Drosophila melanogaster: one gene and its partners. The protein of the gene in region 1 interacts with the protein of each later gene in a pairwise test. Each region holds a gene or a part of one and is shown in the gene's direction. Other genes may lie near its edges. The genes, in order: Unr, Cpr57A, Vajk3 and Rgl.

Region 1 (4,641 bases):
GGGCGTTTTGATAATCTATTCATGTTGATAACATTTTGCACTGTCGAATGTATAAAAGGCACCGTAACCAATTAACTAGATTTTGTAAATTGTAATCTTTAAAAATCTGTTCAAGGATAATCAATTTATCAGCATACATATGTATTGGATCCCATTATCATGCAAAATACCATTTAAGTTAATTATGGATTAAGCAACCAAGGAGCTGCTGAAATAAAATTCGTTAAAAGACCCAGGAAGACGTAAAACTAATGTGATTTTCTGTGGGCTGCTAAAAGGAATCTAAAAAAGGGATTTTTTGTGTTTTATGTTTTATGTGACAGAACTTCCGAAAATTAAGAATTAAACTAAGTGAATACACTTCTGCATTTTTGGGGGAATTCCAATTTTACAAAGATAATAACATATCTTCCATATTTATTTATCAGAACAAATAAAACTAGTTTCATTTTTTAAATCAATATATTGCCGCTTAATAAAAGGCGAAAAGATTTTGGGGTTGGCTTAAGTTAGAAATAGCTAGCGATGGTTCTTGTCTCGAATACGTACAGTTTAAAATTAAATATTTAGATGTAATTTTCTTAGTAATAATCCATTTAATTACATAAATTGCTTTTGTTTATTATTAAAACTAAGAATATTACATAAAAGTCACATACAATTCATATTTTATAATTTGCAGTGATAGCATAGAAAATGACATAGATGTATAACCCTGCACTTCTACTACTTTTAGACATTGCATTAAAGATAGTCCCTTTAACTGAATTAAAGTTAAATCGTTATCTTAGATAAGTTTTGATTATTTAAATATAGGAATAGAAAAGCTAAGAGATCCCTGCTCCTACTCCCATGACCACTGACGTCACAATTGTCCCTCTCTTCGCACACCTTCCAACACTGCCATCGTGCTGTCGGCAAATATGGCGCCCGCTAGCAGTTGTTGTGCTGTCGTGTGGTACGTGTGGCTGGTCCAGAAAATTCTCGTTCGCTTCAAATAGGACTATTATTTAACTCAAATTCGGAACGAAAATATGCAGAAAATGTGCCGCGAACAAAGCTGTGATGGAAAAATATGAAATGTGTTAGGGAAATTAGTTTTTAAATGGCGAATTAACGTTTTTTCGTTGCCCAGCCAGATTTTCTACGCTTCTGTGTGTGTGTGTGTGCGTTTGAGGGTACCAAATTTGCAGCCCGAAAAAAAAGTTGATGAAAATTCGTTTTTTTGCTACCAACTTGGCACTTCGGTGACTGTGCATGTGTGTGTGCAGTCTGCGGGGTTGCTAATTTTACGCTAAAAACCACAACAATAATGTGTAAAAATAGTTTACGATTGCAATTGCGTGTGCGTGTGTATGGGCGTGCATGTGTGTGTGCGTAGTAGGTTGCGCCAGTGTGTGTGCAATTTTTTCCGGCAGGCAAAAATCTCTCCATTTGCAACACTGAAAAATCGATAAAACTGCAGCAAGACTTTCGGTGTAGATTTCACTAGCCAAAAATAAAAGAAATAATAAAAAAGATGTATTAATTTTTCTTAATCGTTTCCACCTTTCTCTTTTTCTCATTCAACAGCTTTTGTAACTAAAACTCCGTTTTGACATCACTTTCATCATAATCTGAAAAAATAATAATAATATAAAAAAACAACAACAAATATGATAAAAAAATAAAAAAATCACCATCGAAAACGAATCAAAAAATAATACATACAAATATAAATCGCAAATAATTGAAAGTTACAGCAGAAATAAAAAACAACAACAACATAGCTCAAAAGGAAAAAGTCAAAGCAAAAACTTTTTAAGTTTTTTGGACTCTTCTTTGTTTTTGTTTCGTTTGCTTTGCAAAGAAAAACACACAAAACAGAAAAAACGAGAATTTTTACGCCGCCCGTCGGTGTGAGCGAGACAGACAGAGAGGGAGATAAAGCGACTGCGCAAATAAAAAAAGAAAACAAAACAACAAACAACATAAAAAACAAGCCAAGCTTGAAACGAAGACTTTCAAATAAAACAACAACAAAACCAACAACAAACCAAACAAATTGAAACGCTGTGAAATTAACTCGTCAATACTCAAAAGCACCAACAAATAAATAAACAAAAAGAAAAGCTAAAACAAAATAAAAGGCAAACCACGAAGGAGCAAGTAAAGCGGAGTTTAACAAGAAAACGGCAAAAGCACTGAAAACAAAAAAGCAACGGGAAACGAAACTAACGTGAAGTCAAAGGCAACGGCGCTGCGGCGTTCGGACTCTCGAATAAAACAAAAACAATTCAAGCAAAACCGCAAAACCTACACTTGGAAAAACGCTAAATAAATCCCAAATTCCTCATTATTTTTCCTGAAAAGCTTTAATTTAATTACGAATTTTTTGTTGTTAAGTCAGAGTGAATTCAATTTGCTAATTAATTTAAATTAAGACATCAACAACCGAGCTACAAAAGCAGCAACAACAACAAACAAACAACAACCAACAAACAACTGAATTAATGTTTTAAAGTACAAAATAACCGGGAGTAAATCAACAACAAATAATTTAAACATATTAAAAACGATTTAATTTAAAACGCAACATCAATCTAAATTATTTAACTAAACATAAAAACAAACACTGCTAGAATTTAAGTCCAAAAACAACTGATAAACGCCCACAAGGGCGAAAGGGAAGTGGGAGACAGAGCGATAAATGGAGGAGAAGCGAGGAGAGCTGAATAAAACCGATCAAGCAACAATTGTGCCGCAAAAAAAGTGTGAATAAAAAATATATACTAAAAAAATAACGGTAACAATAAAGAAAACATTTAAAACCAAAAATCTACAAGAATTCTATAAGTTTTAAGTCACGTTTTACACAGACCTACAACAACAACACCAGCAATTGAACTTAGCCAATAAATTTAATTAAAACAATAAATTAGTGAAAAAAAAATAAACGGATTAAGCCAATATATATAGAGAACGCATAACAAATTCAAAACTGCGGCCTTGTGCCAAAAAAACAGTTTTTATTTTTTCCAATAAAACATTGTTTTTTACTAGTTTTCAATTCAGATTTTTTTATAAGTGTACCTAGTGAGAAATGTTAAAAGTCTAAAACAGCAAAAGCAACTGCAACAAACGGAAGTAAAACGGAGAAAAGAAAAACAAAACAAATTCAAAGAAAGATTTAACAACTCTGTGATAATTACTGTAAATTTATAAATTTAAAGAAAAAAAAAAAACAAAAACCTAAAGAAAAACCACAAAAAAATCTCTAATTAAATGAAAGGAAAACCCCGTCATTTTTAACAGTAGGCGAAGAAGAAGAAGGAGCGAAAGAGGAAGCAGAAAGCAGAAAAACATCTTAAACCAACAACAACTTTACACTTAAGAGCAAATGCAAATGAAAAGATAAAAAACATTGAAACAAATTCGTGATATCTTAAAGGACTTCGATACATATATACTATAGTATATTATATATTATATTATATAAACTATTAAACTAAGCTTAAATCTAGTGAGCGTCAACCGAGAAAACAAAAACAAAACAATGGAATAAGTGAATAAACAACAAAACCAACCAACACAAAGCAAAAAATAAAAACCCTAGGTTATGAAAAGACTTCAAAACGCATTCAAAAAATATATATATTTAAACAAAACAAAATAAATCGTAGACTTAAAGTTCAACATAGTAAATGAGCGAGGATAACTTTACATAACGGGTGTCCTATATCTATTATATACATATATAAAAACAAAAACAAAAAAACATTAAAACTCATAATTTTTGCTTAGTGAATAGTAAATGAAACAGCAATAAAACAGCAACAAAACAACAAAAAAGAAAAAACAAATTATACAAATCGTGCAACCGAAAAGTAATAGCAACGTACAGCGAAACAAAATAGGAAATCGACACAGAAAGAAAGAAAGATACAGAGAGAGAGTGAGCGAGGAACCGGAAACGGAAGTCCCGAGAAGAGGAAGAAGGAGATTTAAACCTCGTCCCCCAAAAATCATCGTTGTACTAAAGGTATTCGAAAGTAAATAAAAAATCACTACTACTTCCTATAAACCACAACGATTGCCTACAAAATATATATTATATATATGTATACTAAATAGAAACCAATATAATCAAGCAAAACACACAAAATATTCAAATATCAAACAAAGCTAATCTAACCCAAAAGTAAAAAGTATTCCCAGTGTATTTTTCTAGTAAAACTAAAGTAAAAATATAAAAAAAAATCAACCAAATTCATTTCAAACAAAATGCAATAATTCAATAATAATTCAAAACTCGAACAAAAATAAAAACACCAACGGCAGCAGAGCTGGTGTGCATTTTCATCGTAAAACCACAATATTTTGAATACACAAAACAAACAAAAAAAATATTTCAAGAACAACAACTTTAAAAAGAAATACAACCTACAACAGACCCAGGAAGGAACTTCAAACTACCAAAACAAACCAACAACGTTACAATATTTGTCGGCATTTTTTACAAGAAATATAAAAACACAAAACAACAAGGAACACAAAAAACCAACAAACAAACAAACCAACAACAGCAAAGGAAAGCTAAGTAAAACAACCACATTTTTTGCGGGGAATGCCCTCAAGAAAAGACAAAAATTTTTATTAACT
Region 2 (3,962 bases), on another chromosome or scaffold:
TACTACTTTAGCAGTTTCGCCCACAGATTATGCACCAAACCCTGAAGAACTTCACCCAAGTGGACGTGGTCTCGGATTACAGCCACCAGAATCTGCAGAAGATGACGCTGATTCTGCAGCACGTGGGCTACCAGTACGATGTGATGCAGGACAGTGTCAACCACTTGGATTACCTCAAGGAGCAGGTGACGGCCATGGAAAGATGATTGGAAGAGCAAAAGCCTAGACACTAGCAGCACCCTTGACCTCCGCCATCTGTTTAATTTGTCCCAAGCCATCTATCCATAAATATCTATAAATCCCGAAAGATAGTCCGAGAAGGTCAGGGGCCACCAAAAGAGTTGGGTCCGCCGATAAGATAAGCCGTGTGTCTTGGAGTTCCCTTATAAAAGACCTGAACCACAGTGATTTCCATCACAGTCACGGGCAATCAAAGAGAAAATGACGAGCTTGGATTTCAGACTGGCAGTAGCTCTCTGGCTAATCTGTACGTCGGCTGCCCAGAACTCCACGGATGTCGAACAGGATGGCCGCATTGTCGGCGGCTGGGAGACGCACATCACCTTCTTTCCGCACCAAGTATCCCTGCAGTTGGGCACCCGGCATGCATGCGGTGGAACCATCATTTCGCCCAACATCATCTTGACTGCTGCTCACTGTGTGCTGGAGTACAGTAAACCGCAATATTACGTGATTCGAGCCGGATCTAGCGATTGGACGAAGGGCGGCAGCTATATTCGCGTCAAAAAGATCATTCCGCATCCTGAGTTCCATGACCCCACGAGGATGAACAATGACATTGCCATTGTTCAGCTGCAGCAACCCCTTGTCTATAGTCAGGATATACGACCCATAAGCTTGGCCACCAGTAAGGACATCATTATGCCGACCGCACAGCTTTTTGTAAGCGGCTGGGGCAGCACGTCGATCTCACAAATGCAGCCGGAAAAGCGTCTTCGCTACACCGTTGTCCATCTGAGAGATCAGAACCAGTGTGCCAGAAACTATTTCGGAGCTGGCACCGTGACCAACACCATGTTCTGCGCGGGAACTCAGGCGGGAGGAAGAGATAGCTGCCAGGGAGATTCGGGCGGTCCACTTGTCACATCTATAGATGGCCGTCTAAAGCTCTACGGCATTGTGTCCTGGGGATTTGGATGCGCAAACGCCATGTTTCCTGGAATTTACACAAAAGTTTCGGCCTATGACGACTGGATAGCGCAGACAATTGAGGAGCTGGTCTAGCCTAATTTTAAACTGTATTACAACATAGAAATAATGGTCAAAACCACTGCTAAGTTTAAGTTATAACGTAATCCCATATATACTAATACGAAATCTAATACTTAAGACTTTTCACCTCTGTAAATGAACCGTATTAAACGCTAATAACTTGCTAATTTCAAGTTCAGATGACTAACCAAAGGCATAGAATGTTATATATCGAAAAACAATTTGTTAATTCAACTTTAATGTCAAATTACCTTGTTTATGAATGCAAAATGTAAAAACAAGTTTCGGATTCGTGGATTAGCCGATCGTAGTGGCATATAAAATGCGCATCTCGGCACCTCGAATACCAGTTTTTGGCTCTTACGAACTGCGAATACCGAAGTGTTGTCCAAGTCACCGCCAGTTACCAATCGCAACTTGAGTAGAGAGGCAACACAATCCAGCAACCATGTTTATAGTTTTGGTAAGTGAGCGACTATATCAGATGTTACTCAACTACATATAACTCTTCCTGTCTGCATGTCAAGGTCGTTTGTTTGCTGGCAGTCGCTGCGGCCGATGTGTCCCATCTGGTCACCCCGGAACCGAAGGTTCCAGCAAGTCCGTATGTGTTCAGCTACCAAGCTGGCCGTGCTCCCGGCCATGTGGATCGCCAGCATACCGAGGTGTCCGATGGATCGGGTGTGATCCGCGGTGCTTTCTCCTATGTGGACCCAAAGAACCAGGTGCGCACCGTACAGTATGTGGCGGATGAGCATGGTTTCCATCCTCAGCTTAGCCACAAACTGGAGGACAGCGCCGCCGTCCAGGCAGCCAAGCAAAGGCACTTCGCGGCCTACAATCGGATTGCGCAAGAGCATGCCAACCACACGCCAGGCCAAGTTGTGAGTGTGCCGTGCACAGGTGTGGCTCCAAATTGTTTGTAATGATGCATTGTCTTCCACAACTTTGTAGGCACTAGCAAATGCCCCCCATGCCAGCGCCGCCGTTGCACATGCCACCCAGAAGCACCTGAGCGCCTTCGAGCGGATCGCTGCCGAGCACGCGGCCATTGGACGCCAACAGGAGGCACAGCGTCTGGCGCTGGCCGCTCAATCTGAGCATGGAGAGATCGAAGATGGACAGTACCATCCGTAGGTGATGGAGTTCGCTGAATGATGTGAAAATAAACGGGTAGCTTCCAGAAATATCAACAATTTCCGTTTATTTTGTGATCAGTTAAAGTGAGTGGGGGAAATAGTTTAGTTAATTATTTTGTATTATACAGTTTGTTATAATCAGATAGCATTCTATACTTTTAATGAATTTATTTCTTTTGTGTTAAAATGGTAAGTGATTTATTTCATCATGACAGTAAAATGCGATTCAATTTATGCGATTTGGTATTTAGTTTCCTATGATATCTTCAACTAGTTTGATGCCTGAAAAAATGTCTCTAAGACTTGTACCGCATCTGGCTTGTATTATTTTTATTTTGGAAATTCAATTTGTAAGTTCAACACTTTATTCTTGATGCAGTTGTTCGGAAAAACTTAACATAAGACTCCTCTTCTAGAGAATTGCCGATTCTAACGATCCGTGCCCCCATAATCAAGGAATAGACGAAGATATAGCCGAATCAATTCTAGGTGACTGGCCTGCAAATGTGGATTTGACTAGCGTGAAAAGGTCCCACAAGTGTTATGTGACCTGTATTTTGCAATATTACAATATTGTGACCGCTTCTGGTGAGATATTTCTGGACAAGTACTACGATACTGGAGTCATTGATGAATTGGCGGTGGCACCCAAAATCAATCGATGCCGATATGAGTTTAGAATGGAAACAGATTATTGTAGCCGAATTTTTGCTATATTCAATTGTTTAAGGCAAGAAATATTAACAAAGTCATAAAAGCCGTTGTAAAGAATAAGATTGTTTTTTTTTATTTTGGATGCATATTAATAACTAATATTAGGGTACGATATTCTAGTATCGGGTATATAACAAAGAAAAGAATCCATAAAATAACTATACATGCGATTGCCACCCGCATCTCCACGTATATTCAATTGTTTATATTATTAATTAATAAGTCAGTTATCAAATTAAAAAGAGGTAATTTAAATCGTTGAATGTGTGTGCAATTAAAAATGTGATTATCCATTATATTGAAATTTAATTGCTCGTATTGGGTTTGTTATAAGTACATGATACGATGGATTCCCTAGGAATATAGCAAGTATGTTGGACCAACTTACACTGTGTTTGTTGCTAAATTTTCTGTGCGCAAATGTTCTCGTAAGCTTTATTTATATATTTATAAAGTTCTCATATAACATGCATGTATCTATCTCGTTGTAAAGGCTAACACTTCAGTATTTAATCCGTGTGTTTCGCAAAATGAGTTATCCGAATATGAAGCCCACCAAGTGATGGAGAATTGGCCAGTTCCGCCCATCGATCGGGCTTACAAATGCTTTCTAACATGCGTCCTCTTGGATTTGGGTCTGATTGATGAACGGGGTAATGTGCAGATCGATAAGTACATGAAATCCGGAGTGGTGGACTGGCAATGGGTGGCAATAGAGTTGGTAACATGTCGCATAGAATTCAGCGACGAAAGGGATCTGTGCGAGCTATCATATGGAATCTTCAACTGCTTCAAGGATGTGAAGCTTGCGGCCGAGAAGTATGTTTCAATTAGTAATGCAAAGTAGATTCAATAAAATGAAAAGTATTTCATTGT
Region 3 (4,884 bases), on another chromosome or scaffold:
CGGACTCAGCCTGGCTGATATATAATCTGATTTTGTGCAAATGCACAAGCATCTAATGCCGCTACTGCAACGGCGACCCATAAAGGCCTTTCACTTTTACGCCACAGTGCAGATCTCACGCATGGCACCCGATCCAGTCACTGTTCCAGTCACAGATCCATTTGCAATCCCCGTTGGTATTCCACTCCACAATCCCACACCCAGCGTTCCGATAATCGATTTCGAGTGCGAAACTTGAGATTCGCAGCCCACGGTTATGCACCGCATCTGTTGCATCACTTTTCACCACCCCCAATCGCAGATAGTATCTATTTTTTCCGCCCGGTGATCACTAAACCATTGTCAATGACATCAAAGATGCCGAGAAATTCCAGAGAGGCAGCTTCCGTTTTTACCTGGTTGTTGCAGGAAGTGCAAAATGGTAACCCGAGTACCCCAAAGGTGGCAAGAAAACCAGAAAGCCTAATTATGACAGCAATAGAAATTGAGACATCACACTCAAATTACTATCTTGCAACAATGTATACTGATATAAAGCAAGTAACTGGTTACAAGTACAGTGAACTTTGATAAATGTTGCTTACTACAATATCAATTACAAAATCAAAGTTTAATGTAATTAATTGCCATTTTTAAAAGATCTGAATCCGGTTAAAAATTAAATACTAAAATCCGGAAAACATTCGGTTCGCCAAATGCATACAAAATTATAAGAAACATTAATTAAGTTATAAATCAAGTTACCGTTAAATCAAGTTCTACGATATTAGATCTGCTAAGTGAATTTGAGATTTATTAAACTCAAATGAAAGAAATTGCTTTGTTACACTTTTGTTTATTGGGCCACAAAATGTTTCGAAATAAATTTTATATTGAAATTATACAAGATTAAAACCAGATTACCCCTTTGAACAATTCCAGATTTATAGACCCTTTGTTTAAAATGCGAGCCGAACGTATAAATATGATACTAATAAGCAAGTTTTTTTTTTTTTTTAATTAATGGAATCAAAACAAAATCTAGTTGAATTTCCATTAGGTAGACTCAGAATTATTGATATTAGGAATCAGGTTCGACCAAAACTGCTGACTTCTGAAACTTGACAAACAAAACATAACGACTTTGATAGACATATGACCTTTCGTTGAAATCTATATTTTTGGGAACAACTTGCTAAGAAGCCCGAAGACTTTTTATCCAAATAAAACAAAAAAAAAACAAGAAAGGATTGCTAGTACGTTCTGCGGGATTTTCCCAATATAAATTTCAATTCAAGATTTAGTTAATTTATTTTATTTGCTTTTTATGTTCCCAAATTGATTTGATCACATTTGCACCCATATTTTATAAGCCACTTTCAAGTTGGCGGCTAAAGTCACCAATACACACAGAGAAAAGCCGCAATTGCGTGAGTATTGGTGGCATGCCAGTGTATTGGTGAGCGCTTCCGCTTGCAACTTTCCGTGCCGCACTAATACACACAAATATAACCAATACAAGCGCAAACCAAGCCGAACTCAGAGCTTTGAAGAGAGCAATTAGGCTGGTTTGTGGTGGGAAAAGCTTTTGGAAACCGCTGAGCGACTTGGTTTGGCGGTGTTTTCAGTTTCGTTTTGACACAAAAACTCTTTGGGGGTATAAAAGCGCGCCACTGACCACAGACAGCATCCAGTCAAAGGTTTGGAATCGCTAGTGATTCTACAATCCTTCCACAGTCTATTTCGCTGTTACTGAGTTGCTTGTAAGTGAAGCCAAATGCCAAGTTAATTTTTGTTTGTTTCTAAAATGCGTGTAGTCTATGTGAAACGGAAATAAAGTTTAAGCTGTGATCTAAAAGTTATAAACTAATAACTGTGCGAGCCGTGTGCTCTAAATAACTTCAATTTTCCAAGGAACATTTTCCCAAAGAACAGATTGTTAATACCAATTAAAGTGCTGATCTTATAAAAAAAAAAATATCTATGCTGCATTTCGTATAAATAATCTTATTGTTTTCTTTGTTTACTTACAGCCTTGGCAAGTCCCATTAGACTCCACAATGAAAGTATTCGTAAGTACAACAGACATATAGTAATTAGACATATAGAATTTAGTTTGATATGTAAATGGGTACGAGTATGTGAACTATCGCTGTTGGTAGCATATTTTAGTGTGAGAAATCAAGTAATAATTCAAAGAATTGCATACAGAACAATGCTGACATGAACTAATTGGAACAATATAGCCTTTTGCATTGCAAATGCCTCACATTGTTTACCTGGCCATCTTCAACAACAAACAACTTCCTGAAACAATTCAATCCGATAAATTTCCTTAATCAAAGGTGAAATGCTCGCAAACGACCAAATTCAACTTGAACGACATGGCTAATAAGCGTTTATTAACTGAACGATCATAATTGGAGTGCCAGCCACGTTTATTACCAGGCCGTAATCAACTGGGTTCATGTGCTCAATTAAAGCCAGCTCCAAATGCATTCGCTGAGTTGCCCACTGCGTATGCGTAACGTGACGCCAGTCGGTTGAGGCGTATTGCGGAAACTGGGCGTGGCAGTGGGCGATGACTGCACTGCATCATTTATGCCAGGCACGCACAAATTTCACTTGACCATTTGAATCGCGAAAGAGGGCGATGAGACAACGGACGACACAATGCGAATCGGGCCACATATCGCCTATCGCCTTCGCTTTCTATTGCGATTAGGTAATCGATCAAACTAGGCAATGGGTGATAAAAGTCAACGTTTTCGTTAGGCAATTTATGTAGGTTGCATATCTTGAATTGTTTTATCATAGAGAAGCTTCAAATACTTAAAGAATAGACTATACGAATTTCATGATAGATGAGTTTGCACAGTTGAGAATTCGAAGATAGTATGACTAAATTTTATTTCATTTCATTTTGAAATAGATTTAAACTATATTTGCAAGGAATCAAGTTCTACTTACTAACTTAGTTATTGTGAAATAAACTATTAAGAAATCACAAATATCTAGAATTTTGCTAGAAAATTAATATATTATTATTATTTAAAAGTCTCTAAAATGCATAGTTTCATAACCAATCGCACCAACTCAATTCTTTGCAGATCTGCTTAGCCGCTCTGCTGGTGGCCTCCGCCTGCGCCAGCAAAACCGAGGGTGAGAAGGTGCCGCTGGAGAAGAAGCTGGACAAGCGCGGCCTGCTCGATCTGGGCTACGGCTACGGTCATGCTGGTCTGGACACCGGCTACCTGGGACATGGTTCCATCTCCGGCCACGGAAGCTACGGACATGGCTACGGACTGACCGGATACTCCGCACCCGCTGCCGTCGCCGTGGGCCACAGTGGTCCCGCGATCGCCGTTGGACACACTGCTCCCGCCGTCGCTGTCCACCACGCTCCCGCCCCCTATGTGATCAGCAAGCAGGCCGATGTGCACAAGACCATCACCATCACCAAGGGAATCCCAGTGCCCGTGCATGTGGACCGCCCCTATCCCGTCGTCCATGAGAAGCGCGTGCCCGTCGAAGTTAAGGTGCCCGTGCCCCAGCCCTACGAAGTCATCCGCAAGGTGCCCGTGACCGTTAAGGAGTACGTCAAGGTGCCCGTGCCAGTGCCCCAGCCCTACGAAGTGATCCGTCACGAGAAGGTGCCCGTCCATGTGCCCGTCGATCGCCCAGTGCCCGTTGAGGTGCCCAGGCCCTACCCCGTGCCAGTGGCCAAGCCCTACCCTGTCTACGTGGAGAAGGCCGTCAATGTCCAGGTGCCCGTGCATGTGGATCGTCCCTACCCCGTCTACGTGAAGGTGCCCGTGGTGTCCCACTCCGTGGTCAAGCACGCACCCACCGTTGCCGTCAGCAGCTACCCTGTTAGCGCCATTGGCCACGATGCCACCGTCTACTCCGACCACCATGGTTACCACAAGTAAGCGGACGGAATGGACCGGAAGCAGGCGAATCTATTGGAGCGAGCGGACTTAATGGAAATGAGCCGAAGGATATCTAGCAACATTTTCAATTATCTTCCCCACTCTCTCCACCTGTCGGCCTTCCTTTCCAAAACCGAGCGCAGAAGCAAACTCTTAAAATACCCCCTGGAAGTCAAACTTCCGCCCTGCCACACTCTCTGTAGCTGATAAGAACCCCCAAGATGAAACAAGCAATGCCTTTTGTAAATTATTTCCAATCCAGCCATCCAATGGAAGCCATTGTGCTGGGCCAAGAACTCCAGGTTTAGGATAAATACCAGCTAACTGTTTGTAAATTTCGCCATTTATGAACAGTTTAGCTGGCCAAGTTTATCAGTGAAAGGTTTCGGCGCACAATGAATTGAATGGATAATAAGAACAGAAATATCTATGTGAAAATCTATTAAGGACAAATAAAATAAAATGTATAAAATAAATTTCACTGTCTTTATCACTGGTTAGCTGCTGGAAATAGTTTGTCATAGGGTTCTTTGTAATTGTATATCTTGTAAATATATTTTGTAAATAAAGAGTATGTTGTTATTAAACAGCTGTCGTTTTTGATTTGGTGGCTACTCAACATAAATAATATTTAAAAAATGTATTTTTACTAGACTTTTTGAGGATCATTTTCTGGAATATTTACAGCTCTCTAATAATATTTATTAAATAGACGGAATGGTTCAAAAACTTTATGTTCCGATCACTTTAATAAAAAGTTATACGAAGACCCTTTAATCTTGCAAGGTAACAAGTAGGATACCAGTAATTATTTCAAGCCAAGAGATGCGAATTATGCATACCTGTAATTAAGTACAGCTTAAGTTGTAATAAATCAATAATACTCAGTCACAATAAAAACAGATGTCTTGACGCCTTCCTGATCCTTAAACCCGAAAATCCTCTCACCAGTCAGTCAGCTGAGATGACATGA
Region 4 (4,624 bases), 5.5 Mb from region 1:
TTTGTGTGGAGGCTTTTTGCCCAGGTCTGCTAATTATTTGGTCAAATAGTCCGTAGACTAAGTTAATGAAAAATATGTTGCAACATTTTGATTAGAGTGGTGCCGAAAAATCGAATTAAAGAAATTTATAATTTATAATTTAATTTATAATTTTTGTGATATTTATTATCACGATCACAACACAAGAGCGGTTTTTTCGTATGACTAAAGTTTTGGAGCACAACATTTTTCATCTAAATATATATTATGACGTTTACGTTTTAAAATATTATTCTCCATACTTTCTGATAGGGAGAACAGCAATAATTTTAAATAAATTTACTATAGCTTTAAACCGTATTATTTTGACACCAACATCATGAAGCACATTGAGGGTCAATCTTTAATTGATCTCTTTTTCTAGCTTTATATAAAATTCGTTATCAGCATCACCAAGTGCATAACAAATATCAGTGCCTTTTTTTGTATTGAAACTTGTTGCATTCGCTAATTGATCAATTGACGTGCTCATGGTCTCGAATATTTATCCAATGTCTACAAGCAACAAACAAAACAGCAGGCATCGTTTGATTGGCGCTTACGTAAATGCACGTTTTATTAATATTTCTGCTTATTGATTTCCCCGCCAGCTTTCTTTAAATCGTTACCAAATACCAGACAACACTCAGGTATTCCCATTTCCATAATTATGTCATTCCAGTTCACATGTTTGAACGGTTGGTCAAATGATAGCCTAAAAAGCCAAACAAAACATGGAAGAAAATTATTTAAATTTCTTTGTTGGCATTAATCAAAAATTTGGAATAAAATCCTACAGGTTTAGGAGGCCCATAAATTCCATTGATAAATGTGAAGCTATAATGAAGACAAATGCTATTGTGGGGGTCAGTGTAAATATATACCAAAAAATACTAAAATTGACAGAGAGAGTTGAGAGAGAGTTCTGATTAGAAACAAACAAGCCAACAGTCAATTGCTCATCAGAAAAAACATAAACAGAGCGCGAATGGCCAGAGCAAGTAAGATTTTTATGTTTGTTCTGATACGACATATATATACCGTGTATTTATTTTAAGAAACTTATTTATTTATATTTAGCGTGTCAACAGTCACTAGGAAGAAGTTTTAAAGAAATTTGTTTAAATTGATTTAAAAGGCCAAGTTACCATAGTGCAAAAGAAATAAAATCAATTACCAATTCAATGGTAAATTGACAGTTTATCTGGAAAAAGTTCTATTTTAAGTTTATTGACTATAAATTGTGAGAATATGTAGGTGTTTTAAATTCGGAACCAATATTGGAATGCATTGTTAATGTTAACTGTGTTTTTGAACTTGTTCGATGCAACCAATATACCTTCACGCAAGGTGTAAAACCATAGTGGGTGTTTTGCTAGAAGTTCCCACGGTCGAAAACTTGAGTACCTGAGAAAAGCGAACGAGAGAGTGCAATTGAGAGAACGGGGATGCTACAGTTACATCCGTCGAGTAAGAACATCCCCCGAAAATGCTTGCGTTCTTAATGACAGAGAGTGGATCCCCGACAGAGAGAGCGTGTGGGAGAGAGTAAGCGAGAGTTGGATACAGACGATGGGGTTTCGGGCGGTCGTTTGTTCTAAGCGGGCAGAGTTCGTCTTCGACTGTTGTTGGCGGCGGTTGCGTCGCGTGTCTCTCTACCGAGAGCTTTGTGTGTGTGTCTCGCGCGCGTTTTACGCTCTGCGCCCCCTACGCTCCCCTTTTCCAAGTAGAGAAACCCCCGAATGTGAATTTTGTATAATGTTTTTGTAATAACATGGATATCTCATGTTGAGATTTTCAGCCAAGCGAATGAAAATGCAAGCGGTATCCCGAAAATTGCCGTTTACGTGTGTGCGAGTGCAGCATTAGCAAAAGGAAAAGAGATAAAAGTGAAAACAAATAAATAGTAGGGAAGACGTGCTAAAGCACGAGAGCAAAGAGGAGATTGCCAGGCAGACGCATAGACGTAGTGCAACGAACCCTTCTTCGCGGACCAAGGATTCACCACTTACCACTAACCGGAGAACAAATACCAATATTAACCCCCCCACCTCTACTGCTACTGGGTGTGTTTCTCTATGTCCCGTTGACTCATCGTTCCCAGGAAGCTGAACAACGGTATAGCGGCCAGAACACAGAAGCCCAGTACAAAAAAAGAGCAGCAGGAATATCGATTTTACTTGCCTTTTACTTATACAACACCCCCACCACCCATTGAACTGCACTTGGGTGTAAAAATAAAACACCAGAAGCCATTAAAGGAGACGTGTAAATTAAAGCGAACCGACGAGAAGAGGATAACGGATAGGAAAACCCAAGCAGTGCATCCGTGGAAATCTCAGCAACATTTCTCAAGGAACAAAAGCCAATCTCAAATGGTAAAAAAAAACAACGCAATCCATCAGGCCGGATTAGAAAGGAGCGCACTTTAGATCTATTGGTTCTTATCCTGCCCTTACAGTGGTCACTCGAACGTTGATACATTGAAATGTTTTTTTTTAACAATATATTTAAAACAAGTACATCATATTTCTGCAATAAGCAATACATCGGTAACAAACTCCTGATAAGATAAAAACATTAATGGCTTGAATTTTATTACTATTGACCCTCGCCCTTAAATCAACGACATGGATAATTATCGATAATGCGCACCTTTTTTTGTCCGAGAATTTTCAACCCTGAAAACTAGTTGCTGTGTACTTGATCTGGTTTTGTGTGGAGAGGGATTACTGTAGTGTCTTGGTGTCGATTCACAAGGAAATGTCAACAATGATTATGGGCAAAAATGCAATGGTATGGAAACTTTACGCCTAAGTGGAGTCCAGAAATAAAACACCTTCTTTTGGTGGGGAAGGAATAGGAATCGATAAAAGTCGGGAATTTTTTACAAGTTATAAATGAATCATATGGGAACTGCCAAGCTTGGAGAAGCTTTGTTTTGGGAGTTTCGAGAATTTATATGCTAATTAAAAAGCATTCAAAATTGGTATACTTATGCTTGGGAACAAATGGTGTAGGGTATTCTTAAGTGATGTATATAATTTGTTTCGCAGGTGAAAGATAACGAATTAAAGCTATGAATTTAAAGGTGAATCAGTTTGAGATCATTTCAGTTGCAGTCCCAGTTATATTTTCGTTTCTTTATCATCCATTTATGCGGAGTGCCCCTAGAAATCATTTATCAGCTCCCATTGTATGCAAAACAAAAGCTCCGCCCCCCACTTCCTTTACCCACTGGCGAATGATGGGGGAATGCATAAAAAAAATAATTTACGTGGGGAGCTATGCTCAGTGGCTCAAACTTTAGCTTAGGTTGATATGTTTTTGTATTGTTTGCACATCATCTCTGCTGCTGCCCAACGGATGTGGTTTGATAATAGCCGAAAGAGCGGGACAGCTGCTCTGCAGTAGAGACAGATACATATGTACATATACACGTTAAATAAAAGTTTTATTCGGATATGAATTATGGTTTTTGAAATTAAAAATTGCAACAGGATGTGGCATCGGTTGATATTCGTTATGTTGTAATATAGCGAAAAGGAGACATTAGGGATAGAATATCGAATGCCAAGTAATGCCTGTTCTATTATTTCTCATAAACACAAACGATGTAAAATCTTGATGGACCTGTGTTAGTAGGCCGATGCAATTAAATTTGATCATAATTCCCTTCATTTTTTTTTATGTGCACCGAGGGAGCAGCAAATGTTGTCAAGTTGACTGCGTCGGATGCAGTCGCATGTAACTGACAGTCAGTCAGAGTCATTTAGCCAGTCAGTCATTTAGTCAGTCAGTCATTCAGGGATGACAGAGGGAAGGGGGAGAGACTGGTGTTTAGTTTCAGTCGTTTTTTTCCCTTGGCGTTTTCAATTTTGTTTTGCGTTGTTTTTTTTTTGCCGCTGCTTCTGTTGCTGCAATTCACAAAACTCGTGCCAGGGGTCGTCGATTTAAAAATAGAGATTTGTGTCTACAATTGCGGTCAAAATAAATGCCTTTTCATTTTTCAAGACAAGCGAAATGTATTGCTTATTTCGGACACCTAATCTATTGCCGCCAAGAACTAGGAAATTCTCAAAGAACTGTTTTTACATCGATACAAATTGCAATACTTTTACCTATAAATCGAATATCTCAAACGGAATACTATTTTACTATCTCAGAGTCATGTTTCATCATTTAAATATTGATCCATTTCCTTAGATGTATTTTCACTTTTAATCTATCAATATTGTGACCTCAGCTGTATGGCTGTTTGTTGATAAATTCACCCCAAATGCAAATGCAGTACCATTTCGCTTTGATGTTGCGGTTCGACTCTCCTTTGTTTTGGTTTCTGGCTATTTTTGCGAAGATCTGTAATTGAGAGAAACCCCCCCTGGGCGGAAAAGCAGAAAACGCCACCCACACGCTTTTCTGGAGGAAAGGTCACCTGCTTTATATATAGACAGATGATGATGTGGGCCGACCAATCAGGCGCCCCCTCATACTTGGATGTTATTTCTTTATAATTGGGTGCCTTGTATACACAAACACGAATATGTTTGACAATTGCCCGTCGTCTGGCATTATAATACTATATTATTTCATTACTTAATGAGCT

Evidence for each region.
Region 2: the proteins of Unr (region 1) and Cpr57A interact in a two-hybrid assay, tested with the Drosophila melanogaster proteins (one large-scale study listed by BioGRID).
Region 3: the proteins of Unr (region 1) and Vajk3 interact in a two-hybrid assay, tested with the Drosophila melanogaster proteins (one large-scale study listed by BioGRID).
Region 4: the proteins of Unr (region 1) and Rgl interact in a two-hybrid assay, tested with the Drosophila melanogaster proteins (one large-scale study listed by BioGRID).

Annotation. Positions count from the first base shown.
Region 1 is NT_037436.4:8,438,650-8,443,290, reverse strand, and holds the start of Unr (upstream of N-ras), read left to right. Parts: upstream 1-1,583; 5' UTR 1,584-4,641. UniProt on the Drosophila melanogaster protein: RNA-binding protein that acts as a regulator of dosage compensation in both males and females.
Region 2 is NT_033778.4:20,547,787-20,551,748, reverse strand, and holds Cpr57A (cuticular protein 57A), read left to right. Parts: upstream 1-1,631; 5' UTR 1,632-1,681; coding exon 1,682-1,696; intron 1,697-1,760; coding exon 1,761-2,117; intron 2,118-2,187; coding exon 2,188-2,370; 3' UTR 2,371-2,561; intron 2,562-2,623; 3' UTR 2,624-2,650; coding exon of another isoform or gene 2,651-2,722; intron 2,723-2,788; coding exon of another isoform or gene 2,789-3,127; 3' UTR 3,128-3,381; downstream 3,382-3,962. Other genes in the region: BORCS7 (BLOC-1 related complex subunit 7), read left to right, coding at 27-206; CG13430 (uncharacterized protein), read left to right, coding at 442-1,245; Obp57d (Odorant-binding protein 57d), read left to right, coding at 2,651-2,722, 2,789-3,127; Obp57e (Odorant-binding protein 57e), read left to right, coding at 3,458-3,514, 3,580-3,933.
Region 3 is NT_033779.5:13,944,256-13,949,139, reverse strand, and holds Vajk3 (Vajk3), read left to right. Parts: upstream 1-1,663; 5' UTR 1,664-1,742; intron 1,743-2,012; 5' UTR 2,013-2,039; coding exon 2,040-2,051; intron 2,052-3,089; coding exon 3,090-3,911; 3' UTR 3,912-4,384; downstream 4,385-4,884.
Region 4 is NT_037436.4:13,916,963-13,921,586, reverse strand, and holds the start of Rgl (Ral guanine nucleotide dissociation stimulator-like), read left to right. Parts: upstream 1-1,621; 5' UTR 1,622-2,393; coding exon 2,394-2,396; intron 2,397-4,624.